Lepisosteus oculatus: one gene and its partner. The protein of the gene in region 2 binds, or shares a complex with, the protein of the main gene of each other region. Links are inferred from orthologs where the notes say so. Each region holds a gene or a part of one and is shown on either strand. Other genes may lie near its edges.

Region 1 (7,978 bases), about 24 Mb from region 2:
GTGTTTCTACCTGTGGACACTACAGATTCAGTGACTGAGTCACTTACTGTTCAACACCACTTACCTCATTATGTCATAATCTTTATTATGTCATAATGTCAGACTTCATTATAACATTAAGGTATTAAGGGAGAAATATTGGAAAATATGTCTAGTACTGATCACCCTAATGAGTTATCATTAACTATACAGGTTAAAGCAACTTTTTGCATTTTGAATCTTGCTTTCTAATCAGTCTGTGTCTACATACCACGCTTCTTTTTTCATAAGATGGACATATATATTGCATGATATGCACATACCACATGTTAGGAACTCTTTATTGTAGAGGAACTTTTTTAACCATGTGTAAACCCTAAAATTGTTTATATATTACATGTACTAATGATATTGTGAAATATACAGTCATTAAAGATATTTAAGAATTCCTGATGGTCACAACTACGATTTGCAATTTGGTACTGCTGTTAGTGTAAGAAATAAAACCGTATTTGACATTTAACTTTACAGGTATTAACCTTATTAACTTGAAAGTCATAGTGTGGGCCAGATCCTGTTTTGGACCACTGTCCATCATATAAGCTCCACTAAACAGGTTTTTCTACGTTATCGAGCAGGAACAAATGATAATGATAAAATGAACATCCACAGAAATACAAACACACTTTACAGTTGAATGTTCTTGTGACATCTGTGTTTCTACTACAAATACAGAACTACTAAAATGGCTTCTTCATTACTCAATTAAATTGCTTTCCATATTAGCTCAGAAGACGAAATTATCCTGCACCAAAGACTGCCTGAAAGCTTTGTTTGATGAAACACCGGACTGCTCTTTAGAAATGAAAAAAATATATTCTCAAGGAGGAAAGAGGAATTCAGTTCAGAAGAGGATGATAAAGAGATTTCCGAATGCCAGCTAGTTATGGTTACCTTGTCTGGTAGCTCTACAAGTCACAGATTAAAAAAAAAACCCAGATAACGTTTTCGCCTGACCCTGCAAAGAGAAAAATGCATGAATGAAAAAGATACTGCCAGATTAATTACTGTAGTGTTAAACTGAAAGGTTATATCTCTTTCCCTAGAATAATTAAAAACTACACACTGAAAGTGCAGCTTTCAAATTGCTTGGACCAACATACAGAAAACAATGTTTACAAACAAATGCTTAAGTTGTTCTGAAAACCTTTGCATGATATTAAGTATATTAAATTTATGCAACCATCATTTAAAATGACAAGCCTCTGTAGAAAAAAAGCAGGAAGATAAGTTCAGACAAAAAAAGGCGTTATGTTACGGAAGAAACTAATAGTGTCAACCTTTATTATACTGTTATGATGTACTGCCATCTAGTGGACAAAAATACTATTGCTGCCGCAGAACATGTTGGGTTGGCAGTGTTGGCATCAAGAACAGATAGAAAGACAGATAATATTGGCTAATAATAATCATGGTTACATGAACATGAAATTTAGCTACTACCCAGTGGAAAGTGGCCAGAGCACATGTACTGAAGCTATCTAATCAGACTATGATAATCTGAGACTTGTTATCCTCATAAAACAAGGGAGATGGAGTAGAAGGTTCCTGGTGTAAAGGGTTTTTTTTTAGATGCAAGAACTTAAATTGGGATGACTGCAACGGTTTGTAAGAACTAAACTGGAAGATTATCTCTATGGCAATAAGCTTAGAGTCAACATGGAAAATTAACAGAAAACAGAGTAGTACAGAAATAATATCATACAATTGAATCAACGGCTGTTAAGTTACTGCCTGCAGCTCCTTTAGCAAATCACCTGTAATGGCTACATGGACACAAAGTTTTCACTGTATTAAGCATAACTGCACTACTTGCATATACTGCATACACCATGGACACATAGCAGCTCTGCTCATATTGAGTTTTATTCAATTTCTATTACATCTATAATTATGTAACCTTATTTTCATAACCTCAATTTTGTGATTTTTGTGTTTTTGTGATTTTTGTGATTCTTGTGATTTTCGTGAGCTTGCAGAAAAGACATTTCATTGCCAGCAACTACTGCTGCACGCTGTATTGTTGTGCATTGGATAAATAAACTTTGATTTGATTTGATTTAAAACCTTACCATTCACTTGTAAGAGTTAGGTCAGAAAACTGTGCACAACTAGCTTCCTCTGATTTATAAACTTTCTTATGTTCTTATTCACTAATAAGTAATGACAACATGTCAAAATTAAAGGAATTACACAATTACCACCTCTTATCTGAAGACTTTGTTGTCTTCAAGCAGAAGATCATTTTAAATATACAGGCATATTTGATCACTAAAAGTAGTCATTTAAGATGGACAAATCTTTCATCTTTAATATACTCTAGCACTCCACACCTTCCAGAGTGGACAGATACAGTTACCTCCTCCTGCCTTTTTTCTTTATAACAATAGATAGATACGGTAGATCCCCCTTTCTGTATCTTTGCTTTGTGTCCATCCAAGAAGATGTCCCTTTTTCTCTTTCTCTCAGGACTTAACTCCCTTCCCCAGTGACTAGCATGTAAAAAGGACAATTAACATCCTCCAGTCTATTTTTCCCCACTCCTGGTCGACACCAAACTTGTTTCACCACTATACCAATATCACCTACTGTGGGGTAGGTGAAGTATTGTATTTCTAACATTTTTAGCGCTGAACATGGATTTATACTGTAGTAAATGTATACTGTAATTCCGACGTTAGAGCTACGATAAACATTTTAGTATACCTCATGTTAAATGTAGTATCATCTTATCAAAGATCAATATTAATGTGACACGGTGCAATAGACGGTTCTATGAAAATGATCAAATCAATCCAGTACAGAAGCTGGACTAGATATGAGTTGTCTGCATCGTAATTAATTTAAATTAGTTTTAAAACGAAATAAACAGAATTCACGTTGGGTAACATGAATTGTGCCTGTATCAAAAACCAAAACTTGTCAATGAATAAGTGACATTTAAATCGCACAGTGACTTACACAATTTTTTTACACATCCTCCAAGGGGGCAGCCATTTTAGTCTTGAATGTCATATCTTTATTAACAAGAAGACAAGCTAAGTGGTTAACATGAGCACAACATTGGGGTCAGTTTTCTTAACACTAAAATATTTTCACATCCCAAACATCATTAATGTTCTAGGGGGCATTATGTAATCAAAAGGCTTGCGTATCTACTCCATGCACCCCGACCTAAGTCCTTTTGTTATATCGTGATAGGAGATACTATGCAGAAACGCCCGGGTGTGGTTACGTCACTGAAAACCTCTCCTGTTTGACATGTGCGAGTTATGAAAGTTGTATCTAAATTAGTTACATCATTTAGCGATCAGTTACAGCAGTTGACAGGAGCGACAGCGAAGAGAAGGACGATAAAAGACGGGTAAGCTACAGTAGGTGAATAGCTTTAATGAACGCCACATGGCAAAGATGGAAAAAATAAAGAATGCATCATCACTGCTTTCAGTTTTAGTGTTGTGTAACCTCTGCAAATTGGTTTATGCAGTCTTTAAGTTTATTGTCTATATCTTGTTTGATTTCGTCTATTTTAATCTAGTATTGTTGAAAAACACTCACACATTTAATATTTGGTAACGGTTAAGCAATGTTTCTTTATAGAGTTTGTTTTAGGCTTGCCACTGCATCAATGTGAGCTGTAAAATTGTTACATAACCCAAAGTGTATTTTATTAAATACTGTCTGCCTGCGTCCTCATGTTAAAAGTATGTAAAAAGTTTTGTTTAGCTTTTCATGCCTCACTTTTACCAAGAGTTCCCTAAGTAAGATCTGTCTGGTATTATTAGTATTGGGTTATGAACAGTTTTTATATGAATTTTCGTGATGATTGATGTATCCTTGGCCGATGTAGAAATGTAATATATTTTAAAAACATCATATTGTAAGAGACTCCCGGGTGTTTATTGAGTTATGACAGAAAGAGATGTGAAACTGCTGTATTATGCGTTTTAGTAGTTATTAATACAATGTTGGTCAATTTCTTTGGTCAGACAGAAACCCTTAGCTTGCAGATTTTTTTTAATTAAAAGGTTTCGCTTGACAGTTGTTGGATATGACACACTTGAGGTCGTGGATGTATGCACCTCTTTTCCTTTGCACGAGTCATCTGCTTTATGGAAACATTTGAGACAGTGGATGTCAGATAATCCGAGTGTTGTCCAAAAAATATTTGAAATGACCTTTTAGGTTATAAGAGGCGTTCTAACAGTGATGGATCAATTAATTTACAGGGCTTCACAAGATAATCCGAATATTCAAGATAATGATTTGTCGCTATTCGTCTTGGCTTTGTTTTGGATTTATTTTAGCGGTCTACAGTACGCTTTAGGTTTTGTGTGTTTCGACTTTTTTGATGGCTTCACCATTTGACCTGGGTGTACTTTCAGGTTTTTCGGCAGTGTTTGATGGAAATGTACAGCACTGTAGCGAGCCCTTTACCTGAATTAATACATATTTTACTTTAGTATTTTTCGGGTCTGTATAAAATCCCAAGTTTCATTAAGTCGAAAAAAGGTCTAAAACCGAACACCACGACTTTCCATCTATGAATTGGCTTCATTACTCTGCTCTCCTCCCCACTGATACTATCAGTGATAGCTGATGTGCGGTGAGCGTTCTGGCCCACTATGGCTGCCGTCGCATCATCCAGGTGGATGCTGCACATTGGTGGTGGTGGAGGGGAGTCCCCACTACCTGTAAAGCGCTTTGAGTGGAGTGTCCATAAAAGCGCTATATAAGTGTAAGCAATTATTATTATTATTATTATTATTATTATTATTATTATTATTATTATTATTATAAGATGTCCAAGATTTCCTGAATATGTGGAATTGGCTAAGAATCTGGAATAGTCTTTTTATTTAGCTCCCTGTAGTAAAGGCACTGTCGAAATACATCATACTATTTACAAAAACAAATGACAGAAGAGGAAGTTCAGGTGGGTAGCTGCGTCAGCATGCGTAGGCTGCAAAGGAACAAGTAATAGGTTTATTCCATGCTGAAAAGAGAAGAAAGAAAACAACGTTTCGCTGTGGAGCCTTCTTCAGCTGAAGAACAGAGGAGGAAGATTGTTTTGACTTGGTTCTACATCCTGTGGCAATTAAAACTTCTAAATTCATGTTTTTTGTATGTACATCTATGTTTTTTGTTTTTTGGCAGTGGAGCCTTCTTCAGGTGTAAGAAGGACAGGGCAGTAAGCAAAGGTAATATAGCATAGGAGAACAAAAGCTGGGAGAGAGGAGGGGCGAGAGGTGGGAGCGTGGGACAGACAAAGTGGCCAATCAGGTAGTATGATGTCACGATAGGTGAAGAGAGGTGTGAAATGAAACCTACAATGAAAAGAGAGAATTTAGAAGAAAATCAGTCTGTCATTGAGAGGAAAAAGGTGTGATCCTAACTGCAGGATACGTTTAGTTTCTGTAGTCTTTCTGATGTTTGAATTAGGAAAACCAGCTTTGAGAACACAAATGGAGAGATTAGTGTGATCATGGCCGTCAGAGGTGAAATGAGAAACAATGGGCTTGGAGAAATCTTTAATCTTTACAGCCCTGGCACGTTCTCTGAAGCAGTCTCCGAGTCTCCTTCCTGTTTACTGCAAGAAATACAGTAAATAAGGTTGCTGGAGGTACAAGATGTCATCCGAGTGATCTGGAATTGTTCTGAGAGGCCTTGAATGAGTGTGGTGTTAGATACATTCTTGCAGCTGATACAACGAGCTCTGTTGCAAGGGAAAGTGCCTGGTGTGGATGGTTGCTGAGGGCGGTCAAGGGAGCTGTGAACAAGAAGGTTACGCAGATTAGGTGGTTGACGATATGAGATGATGTTTCGGTCAGAAAAGAGAGCCCCAATGCAGGGATCATCCTGTAGGATGGAAAAATTGTCGTTAATAGCCCTGGGGATAGGAAGTGAGGGTGGTGGGGAAGCACCAAAGGAATGCGGTTGTTAAGGCGGAAATTCTTGATTGAGTTGATGGTCCAAGGGATGTTTTGGGCTCAGGCAAGGGCTCTGTCAATAACACTGCTAGGGTATCCTCTGTTGATGCTAAAAGAGTACATTTTGAGGGGTTGGTTCTGGAAATCGATGTCGCTGCAGAGTCGTCGTAGCCGAGGGAACTGTGAAAAGGGGAGAGAGTTTTTAGTGTGTTTGGGGTGAAATAAGCTATACAGGAGATAGTTGTGTGAATCAGTGGGTTTGTAATAGACTGAAGTAGAGAGTCAGGGATAGTTAATGGAGAAGTTGATGTCTAGAAACGGAAGAGTAGTGGAAGATATGTTAACTGTATATTTGAGTGACGGGTGGAAGTTGGTGAAGTTTTGTTTTTAACAGAAAAAAAAAACATTTCTGACAATTTGGTCTTTGGTCTTCATAGAGATGACTTAAGTTAATTGGGGTTTACCAATTCACCATTACAGAACTGTTACAAGAATTTGTATCTGTTTCTCAGTGCCCATCTACCTTAGGACATCTACCTTAAGAAGATTTTTGTTTTGTCTTTCCATGTGAATCCTTTTAAATATCGATTTCAGATTTTTACTGCAGTCTTCCCAGTAAGGTTCTGCTTCTCAGTGTAATGTGCTCAGTAAGTTTGCCAACAGGAGTAAGTTTGTTAAGGAGTAAACTTCTACGCTGTTGTGTGCTGGGGGTGCAGCATCATGGCAAGAGATGTAAGTAGACTCAATAAACTCATCAAGAAGGCTGGCTCTGTTTTGGGGCTGAGCCGTGACCCCCCTGGAGGTGGTGACAGAGAGAAGATTGCTGACCAAGCTCACAGCCATCATTAACAATGCATCTCATCCGCTACATGGGACTGTTATTAGACAGCGGAGCACTTTTAGTAACAGACTGCTCCAGCTACGGTGTTCAAGGGAACGTTTCCACAGGTCCTTCCTCCCGGCGGCTGTCAGGGTGTATAACACTGCCCTAGGCTAGGCTGTCTATGGACAGCATGTTGCACTAATGTAATTTTTGGACACTGCAGTAATATACTGTTTATACTGTGGTACTTTCAATCTGTATATACCTATGCACATTTTGCACAAAATCTATATTGTATTGCTTTACAATAAAATGGAGCGGTCACTATTATTATGTATCAGTGCTATGGTAGATATTTTCCAGTGAGCGGATATTACCTCTGTTTCAACAGACTTCAGGAAGAGTTTTCATTATGGTCTATGACTAACATTTGTTTCTTTGAGAATAATTGGTAGAATACTCTAGATATTTATCTTATCTGCTTCTAGTGTCTGTAATAATTTCCTGTGCTAATATTTATTAAAATAGAAATTTCTGTCATTGTCTGAGGCATGTTTTCTGTTCACATAGACGTACACAACGTGAAAAGCTTATCTGCAGAACTGAAGTAATGTTTTTCAAGGGAATGGACAGGGCCATTGTGGGTTGTGATTCACACAAGAGGAAAGGGGGACCCTGGATACAGTCCTACAACCTGACTCCCAGTCTCATAGTGGTGGCAGTTTCCCTTTCTAGCTCAGGCTGTGTGGATCTATATTATAACATTATGGAAGACATAGAAAAAGATTCTTTTAACAAACATTTTGAGAATTCCTTTTATCCTTTCAGAGGTATTGCATCCTGGCTGATATTTTTAAAGAAATAATAACATAGTAGAATGGTTGTGTGTTTTGTCAAATGAGCTTTATTTTATCTGTTATTGGGACTTGGTGAGGATTACTGTAGGTGGAAGGTCACATATGTCGAAATATGTTGAACCATAAAAACGTAGGTTGTGAGGCATGTGCTTACTTTTTCACCACATTGTATTCTGTTCACTGGCAGTGTGAGTCTCAGAGGCTCCTCATTCACAGACTGCTCTATGATTTTCTGATAGGCCCTGGCATATTCCATCCCTTCAGGAGTCTTTAAGAGTTCAGTATCCACAGTGTTCCAGGTGTGCTCTTTGTTTTGTATACCTTCATGT
Region 2 (8,094 bases):
TTGCAGCCTGTTTCCATTATAAAGTTTTATAACATATCCCATTTTGCTGACCATTACACATATACTGAATGTTTCAATACTCTGTTTATTTTGGCCAGGAAATTAAACATATTTAATGACTTTATAAAAGTTTTGCTTAAGGAGTATTATTGAATGTCAGGTATGGCTGCATTACTTCTTTGGCTCTGTCTTGTTTTATCTCAGGCTGTAGATGTTAAAACCTAAACTCCTTCTTCTCTCTGTCCTGGTTTCTAATCCCAAGTACAGATCATACTGCATTGTTTAGATGGTCTAAAATATGTGATCTGTTTAAAACCTGAGACAAGTGATATGTGAAGATATGACACCAGCCAGCAACCTGGCTGTGTAATCGACTGCTGGGTCTTTGAACGAGGAACCTGAAAGAAGGCAGAGCTGGAGGGAACAAGGTGAATTTCCAGGACTGCTGGCAGAGCAGACACAGTGGCATGTTCATGTTGCCATAACTACCCTTCACAAGTAATGGCATTCTGTGAAAGAAACTGAAATTAAAGTCTGTGTTTTGCACATCAGGGAGTAGAATTAAATTAACAGAAACAACTAAACTGGTAGCTATGCCAAATCAAATAGCAGAGATCGAATAGGGAAAAAAGAGAAAAAAAAATATCCAGACTAATTTTTCCCAGCCAGCTCTCAGCTTCGTTAAAGCAGCAGAAGAGAAGAGTGTAACATATGAAACAATGTTAAAATAGGAACAGCCTTAACCCATCAGAATATCAGAACATGCAGGGAAACACATACTGCACTGCACGTGTGGCAACAGCAAGGAGGTCTTGAGTAGTTTAGAGATGTAACCATTTCAATCTTCACTATCATGCAATACCCTCAGGAAAGCGATTCACTGGTGATAATGGCCATTAACACACAGTTGGACTGCAGCTGCTGTACTGTAGGTGTCTTAATCCAGAAATAAAGTCAACAGGTTCTGGAATAGGTGTCTTGGCCTGTTCAGTCCCTGATCTGATTGAGACAGTAAATTTAACAGGAGAGGTAAAGAGAAGACAGCAATGAGCACCTTCTGTACATGCTGATTATACACAGGAGTATACAGGGGTGACTAGGGCTGATCTGACAGCAGTCTTCGGGGGTGCACTGCTGACATTGTGTGACAGACTCACTCAGGTCTGTGCAGGGGGGGCTGCCAGCATAGCAACATTTTGATCTGTAGTCGATTGCCACCAAACATCTCATTTCCTTTCCAGAAGGGAGAGGACATTTCTGCAGAACACCCGTTTGTGCAGAATCTTTTTAACTTGTACATAGTAATTCCAGAAGATCCAAAAAACATGGTTTTGTATAAAGTGAGATTATTTATTAATTAATTATTCTGCTAGGTATCAGATCCATGATTACACAATCATACTGTCTTTCTATAACTCTATATACCATCCCATAGTGTGCATTGCCCCCTGTACTTTCCATACTAGGTGTTTATTTACAAATAGGGTTTTTTTTAATTACGCTTTAACTGTTTAGTCCCAGATGGGTTAATGAACTTCAAGTAATACCCAGGTTGCTGATAAACCATTGCTGTTATCACTGACAGGCATGCCACCATGTAACCCATTTACTTACAAGCGCCTGGGTGTGAATGGCAGCAGAAAAAAATACACATTTACCAGCAGTAGCTCTTTCCAATTTGTTGGTACACTAGAACTGCAATTGCAACTACTTCCTAGTTCTTTACTTCCAGTACCAGGCAAATAACAATACTGCCTCTAGACTGGTAGATTCCCTAGATCCGTGTGTGGTTCCATGAAGTAAAAACCTGGCATTTCTTTAAAGAATCTGCTCAACAAAGTGTGTTAATGGTTTTCCTGTACTTTGTGTGAGTGTGAGGGAAACGGCACAAAGCCGCCTCACTCACTTGCCCGGGCCCCTGTCACAGAGAGAGATTTCAGACGGGGCTGAGGTCACGTCTGTAACACTTTCAGCACACTGAGCAGCGTTACACAGAGACCTTCAAATCTAGAACAATTAAGTCAGCAATTCATTCAAGAAAGATCATTAGAAGTCCAGGGAGAAATTAAAACTGCACGACACCACGGTCCCGCAGAACAAGCGATGCGCTCCGGAATCATTATTAACATAGCGCCACCTTTACAGCCTTTCCGACGCAGTGTGCACCGATTTCGAGTCCATTGAATTTATTTCCTCTGCATTATAACCACCTTTGTGCATCATAACGTCAGTCATACATGAGCAGCATTAATTTACTACAAAGAAAAAAAATACTGTTCCATCATATATACAGAGAAAAGCATATATATATATATTAAAAGTTTCGGGCTCGGCGAGGACGTACTCGGTGACTCGGACACTCGTTGAGTTAAGAAAACAGCGCTTTTATTAAACTTCGGTACACCCAATCACAGCACACCTGCGCCCGCGCCCCAGCAGAGCAGAAGACTGACTCTGGAAAAAAACGAGCAAGCGCCTGAGAGAATCGAGAAAGAGCAACACACTGGGGTCTACTCGGGTACCTACACCGGTATAGGGTGGCAGGTATTTCGTACCTGGTGCGAAACCAGGGAACTATTTACAAGAATCCGAGTGATCTCCCCAGAATGTACGCCAGTACAGTGGGTCAGCTGCACTGGTCAGCGGCTTTACTAGTCCCCCCCGACCACTACTACTCCCGTCCTGCCTCTCGCCGCGCACCCCAGCCGGGCGCTCTTCGGCTGCAGCGCCAGGCGAATGCGCTACAACAGTGGTTCTCAAACTTTTTGGACCAAGTACCACCCCTAATCCAACCAAAGCATCCAAGTACCACCTACAAGTCATCATCTCATAGAAACCCCAGAAACTATCAATGACCAACATGAGCGCATGTGCACACACACTCACACATACATATAATAAATATTATAATAATAAACTTTGTTTGATATATTAAAATGTGGCTTCTCAAAGTGTTTTACAGAAAAAAAACAACACATAAAAATAAAAAAGCACCTGTTTAGAGGGGTGAGCCTGTTTAGTTGAGCAAAGCAGATGTGAATTAATTTTTCGAGCCTTGATACAATTCACAACAGTCTTAACAGATTTTAAATCGTCAGGCATTTTCTTGACGGCAAAGGTCTCGCGGTGGATGTTGCAATGAAACCATTAATTTCTGGAGCAACCTCTCTAATTCGTTCAACTACACCGCTGTGTCGGCTTGTCATTGCTCTAGCACCGTCTGTACAAACTCCGACACATTTTATCCAGTCGATGCCATTCTCTGCGATAAATTCATTCGAAAGCTGAAATACGTGCTCTCCTGTAGTTCCTGTTGGTAGCGGCTTACAGAACAGAAAGTCCTCACGGGACGTACCCTCAAACTCCTATCTAACGTAAACGAGCAAATTGGCCAAATCGACTACAGACTCATCTAATTGCAGTGAAAAACATCTGCTCATCTTAACTCGCGCTGTCAGCGTACTTTTGATATCATATTTCATTTCAATAATTCTATGAATGACTGTGTCTTTCGGGGGGGAGGCAGCAGGTCGATCTGTTCAGCAGCTTTTTCTCCACACCTAATAGTGTGGGGCTTACCTGCTTTAGCAATCCGCAAGCGTGCATTTTTCCACGTTTCCGTTTTTATTTCAGTGTTTATTTTAAGTATTTATTTCATGCGCATGGGAGAGAAACACAGAGACGCTCGGTGTATTTTTGTCAAATTAACTTAGAACAATTTTAAAATAATTTTCTGTTATTTTTCACGCCTTTCTGTGCTCACAAGATTACCAGCGTTCGTAGAACGCATTTCTATGCATTCCTGTGTTTACAACGTTGGCATTGTTCCAAAATCACGCACATTCTCATTTCTCCCTATTTGCTGGAGATACAGTAGCTTTTTTTAAATACAATTGGTCACTTGCGTCCGTAGCACGCATTCCTATAGAGTGGTATAGAATTACAGAGTATCTCTTGTGTCCACTGAAGTATTAGCGCGCACTGTATCGTAGCACCTAGGCTGCGTATTCGACACGTATAAAAATACAAAATATGAAAATCCGTCCCGATTTTTTCAGCGCACACAACACAGTTCCAGGGTCATTTGGCGTACCACTTGGCGGCACGCCACGTACCACTGCCGGTACGCGTACCACAGTTTGAGAACCACTGCGCTACAATATTATTGTTTTTAATATGCAATTACAGACAGCTTTGTCGATCAACCATCTCTGAATTAAATCACGTTTTCTCCATGGTCATAAATCCAAGAGACTTTGGCCAGTTGTTCTACATTTAATTTATCGTAATCTCTACATCTAGTATCAGATTTTCAGTTGTCTTGTCTAATATTGTTGTGACATTTTTTGTGATCATTTTACTGTAAGCGGGTTTCTGTTCTTTCGGGCTTAAACCAATGAAATCACAGCTCCGGTCAGGACTACATTTGTATTGTAACGCTACGGCGTTCACGTCGGCCCCCCACCTTCGGGGACTCGAACCCGGGCCTCCAGCGTCACTCAGCAGGGACCCAGCCTCTTGAGCCTAAGGGGAATCTCCCGTCAGCCCGGCGGCTGCGGTCCCTGCTATTCACAGGGAAGGGCGGTGACGTCACCGCGCTGGTCAGCCGGCTCTCACGAGCAATGGAGGCCGTATGCGTTACAACTATAAATATATATAAAAGGAACGTGTCCTTAGCAATATAAATACTTAACACTAAAATTTTAAAAAAAACGTTATTATGTATGTATATCAAAATCGAATTCCTTATAACAAAGGATAATTTTCAATTTCAACAATATAATTTCATATTGACACATTATAGTTAACCAAGTTCATATGGTTCTGATTTATTTTATGATACAAATTAAATTAAAATTAAGTAGCATAGCAACTCGCGTGTATTAGGCGACAATCTTGCAACACGATGAGCATCACTAATCGAGCCCCGATCAACAGGCTCGCTGGCTTGAAACGGTGCGCGCAGTGCATGCTGGAAATTGTAGTTTGCCTCTCACGAGTGCCTCGCTGATACCGCTCAACTTGCCTTACGCGAAAACTCCAACTCCTACAATCCCACAGCTGCATAGCGTTACTCTGCAATGGCGAGGTTCTTGGTGGACTACCTACCGAAGACTTCTTAATTAAAGTTACTATCAGTCAAATACACGCGGATTTTTTTTATTTTGCAAAGTTTAGGTGTATTGTTTTTGACATTGCGTTCGGTCAGCCCAAAGCCCATTTTTTGTTGTTGTCGCTTTTTATTAGCATACTTACAACTGTGACAGTTTTATTTCGAAGGGGCAACATGCTGTTTTATTTGATACTGAAGTCCCAGCAGGTGAGGTCAGCCCGGTGCTGCGGCTTTCGATGCTACCGACAGTTGCACAGGGACGGCGGGAGCTTGCAGCGCGCCTCGCCCACAGCTGCCGTGCGGTCCGTCTGTGCGGCCGGGCTCCGCAGCGCCCTGCACGTCCCCAAACTGGGCGTCCTGGCCGATCCCGGGCTCAGAAGGGGGAAGCATGAAAGTTCAGGGCAGTTACCCGCGCAGGGGCGCCGAGGCGACACTTCGACACTGTCCACAGCCCAGAAAGGTGAGGGACTGGCCCGGGAGCCGAGGTCGCGATTTGCCCTGGACGCTATCTGGGACAAGGTACTCACGGTGGAGCTGGGTGGCCTCCCGGTAATTCATTGGTGTAGGCAGGAAGACAGTGATACCAGTTTCCCTCGCTGTCCAAAAGCAATGACAGTGTCAAGCCAGTGGATTTAAGAGTGAAACAATAGCAAGAGGACAAAAATGGAAACTGCTTGGAACTGCGTTTAAAAGTTTACTCAAAGGGCTGTGCGAGTGTGGAACAAGCTACCTTGCCAATATCCTGGTGTAGTTCAAGAAACAGCTGGGTAAAAGCTACCAAACTAGCTACTGTAGGTGGACTGAATGTCCCCATCTCGTTTGTATCCTTTCTTAAAAGGTTTCTGGTAGGTCTTTGTTCTTGGTGGACAAATGAACTGTGTTTGCAAGAATGCTCCTTTGGAAAGTGGGTTAGAGTGAAATTCTGAAACAAGTGTGTATAAGTGTTGCTGGGCAGCAGAGTAGAGTGGTGGTTAGGTTAAGACGGGGAGGTTGGGAGTTCAAATCCCAGGGGCACTGCTGCTGTGTTCCCGAGCACGGGGCTGCACTCAGACTGCTGAAGTAAAATAAGTCTGTAAAATTGGGCACAAGTGCCGCGTTGCTCTGTTTAAAGGGCTCACTCTAATAATAATAAAAGTGTTCCCAGACTGTTTAGACTGGCAAGTATTTTTAAAAAGAGAAACAGTAATGTGCTCTCTTTTCTCCTCCTTGCAGTCAAGAAAGCTGGGAAGGATTTCACGTATCTAATTGTGGTGCTTGTTGGGATTGGAGTAACAGGTAAGTTCTCGTGACCAAGGTGACAGGAGCTTCCTGTTAATACACATTCATTACGGAAAACGGGTGTGTTTTTATTGTTTCATCAATTTAACATCAGTTATGTGCATCTAAGATTTATTATATTTTCACATATGGAAATCAGTTTCAAATTAGAATGCTATAATGTACCTGTACCATATGCAATCCACAGAAACACCAAGAGCGTGAAAACATAAGAAAGGTTACAGAAGTTATGCAAAACCCTGCACTTGCCTGTATTGTCTTCAGCCAGGCGCTCACCCAGTCATGAGATCCACATTGGAGCCTGTGATGGCAATTCTATCCCAAAGGAGTGGGGGGGGCAGTGTTTCATTGGCCTTTGTGTGGGTGAACTGTGTCTGTAAGCAGGAACAATGTTTGTGCAAGAACAACGCTGGAGCACGTCCTCTTAAAACAGATTGAACTGCATATCCTAAAACTGTGTAAGATTTAAAAATATGTCAAAACACAGATCCGGGGCTGTTGTCCACTGCATGGTGGATGAATGCAATTCGATAGACCAAAGAGATAAGAAGTCAGACAGCGAGGTGTGAACTGAGGTGAAACATTACTTTGTCTTTTATCAAAGTAAAGATTCGCAAAAACCCAGTATTTGAACACAGACACTGGTGGGTCACTTTTTAAAGATTTAATCAGATTTGCTTGTTTTACTTACATATTCAACAGTTTACTTCCAAAAATCCCAAATTAGTAGGAGTATGTGTTTTATGGTACCTGGATAAAAAAGAACAACCTTGCACTTCTTCAGTCCATTTTAAAACAGCCTGGAGATGATGGATGTTACAAGCCATTTTCTAGAACTGTATTTATGTTTGATGTTATGATCTTTTCATCAGTCTTAATGTAGAAAACGATCCAGTCAGTTTTTCATTAGTTTTCATTAATGTCTTTGGATTATTAACTCAGTGCAATTTATCAGTGAACATTGCAAGTACAAATGCAGATGACAACCATGTAAACAAAGGAAGGCTTTCCTGAGGTATAACAAGCTATTATTAATTACCTAATTATCTGTCAGTTCACCTTTTAACTCTGCAGAATGTTAATGTGTTGCTGGCAGCTCAGTGTTTGAGGTTAATGCACTGAAAACTACATCATGGTCATTATGGATGGGAGCTGAAACATATCAACTGCTTTTATGCACAATCATGAGTTTGGGATCATGGATAAATTCATCCATTGTATTGCTTTAACATGCTGAACACATTTGCATGCATTGTTTTTACTAAATGAATGAGGGCTATTGAATTTCATTTTTGCAAATAGTGAATTAAGATGCCATGTCTTCATTCTGTTCTTTTGGGGGGAAAAAAGCTTTCTGAATCTGTATTAGGTGGAGGAGTTGGTAGCCATAATTTCTGCATGACTGTGTGTCTTTGTCTTAATTACAAATCGGTTGATTTTCTTTTTCTTCAGTATTTAATACGTATGCTTTTTCAATTATTCTACAGTCCTATGAGTTCAGTTTAAAAAATCATTTCTGTTCAATTTCTCATTCATCTATTGTTGTTTGTATTATGTAGCCACAATATAAAAACTGCAACCACTTTTATTTATAACCTACTATACATTTGAAGCCTCAGAGCACATTGGATTGTTTTGATTAGCCCTCATTGACTCTCTCCTTCCTTCAGGTGGATTATTCTATGTTGTCTTCAAGGAGTTGT

Evidence for each region.
Region 1: timm21 (region 2) and coa1 share a complex: the UniProt entries of both Homo sapiens proteins name them as parts of the MITRAC (mitochondrial translation regulation assembly intermediate of cytochrome c oxidase complex) complex. The link is inferred for Lepisosteus oculatus from reciprocal best matches to the Homo sapiens genes TIMM21 and COA1.

Annotation. Positions count from the first base shown.
Region 1 is NC_090701.1:24,136,972-24,144,949, forward strand, and holds the start of coa1 (cytochrome c oxidase assembly factor 1 homolog), read right to left. Parts: upstream 3,092-7,978; 5' UTR 3,001-3,091; intron 998-3,000; 5' UTR 934-997; intron 1-933. UniProt on the Homo sapiens protein: Component of the MITRAC (mitochondrial translation regulation assembly intermediate of cytochrome c oxidase complex) complex, that regulates cytochrome c oxidase assembly.
Region 2 is NC_090701.1:376,335-384,428, forward strand, and holds the start of timm21 (mitochondrial import inner membrane translocase subunit Tim21), read left to right. Parts: upstream 1-5,037; 5' UTR 5,038-5,287; coding exon 5,288-5,573; intron 5,574-6,325; coding exon 6,326-6,388; intron 6,389-8,061; coding exon 8,062-8,094. UniProt on the Homo sapiens protein: Participates in the translocation of transit peptide-containing proteins across the mitochondrial inner membrane.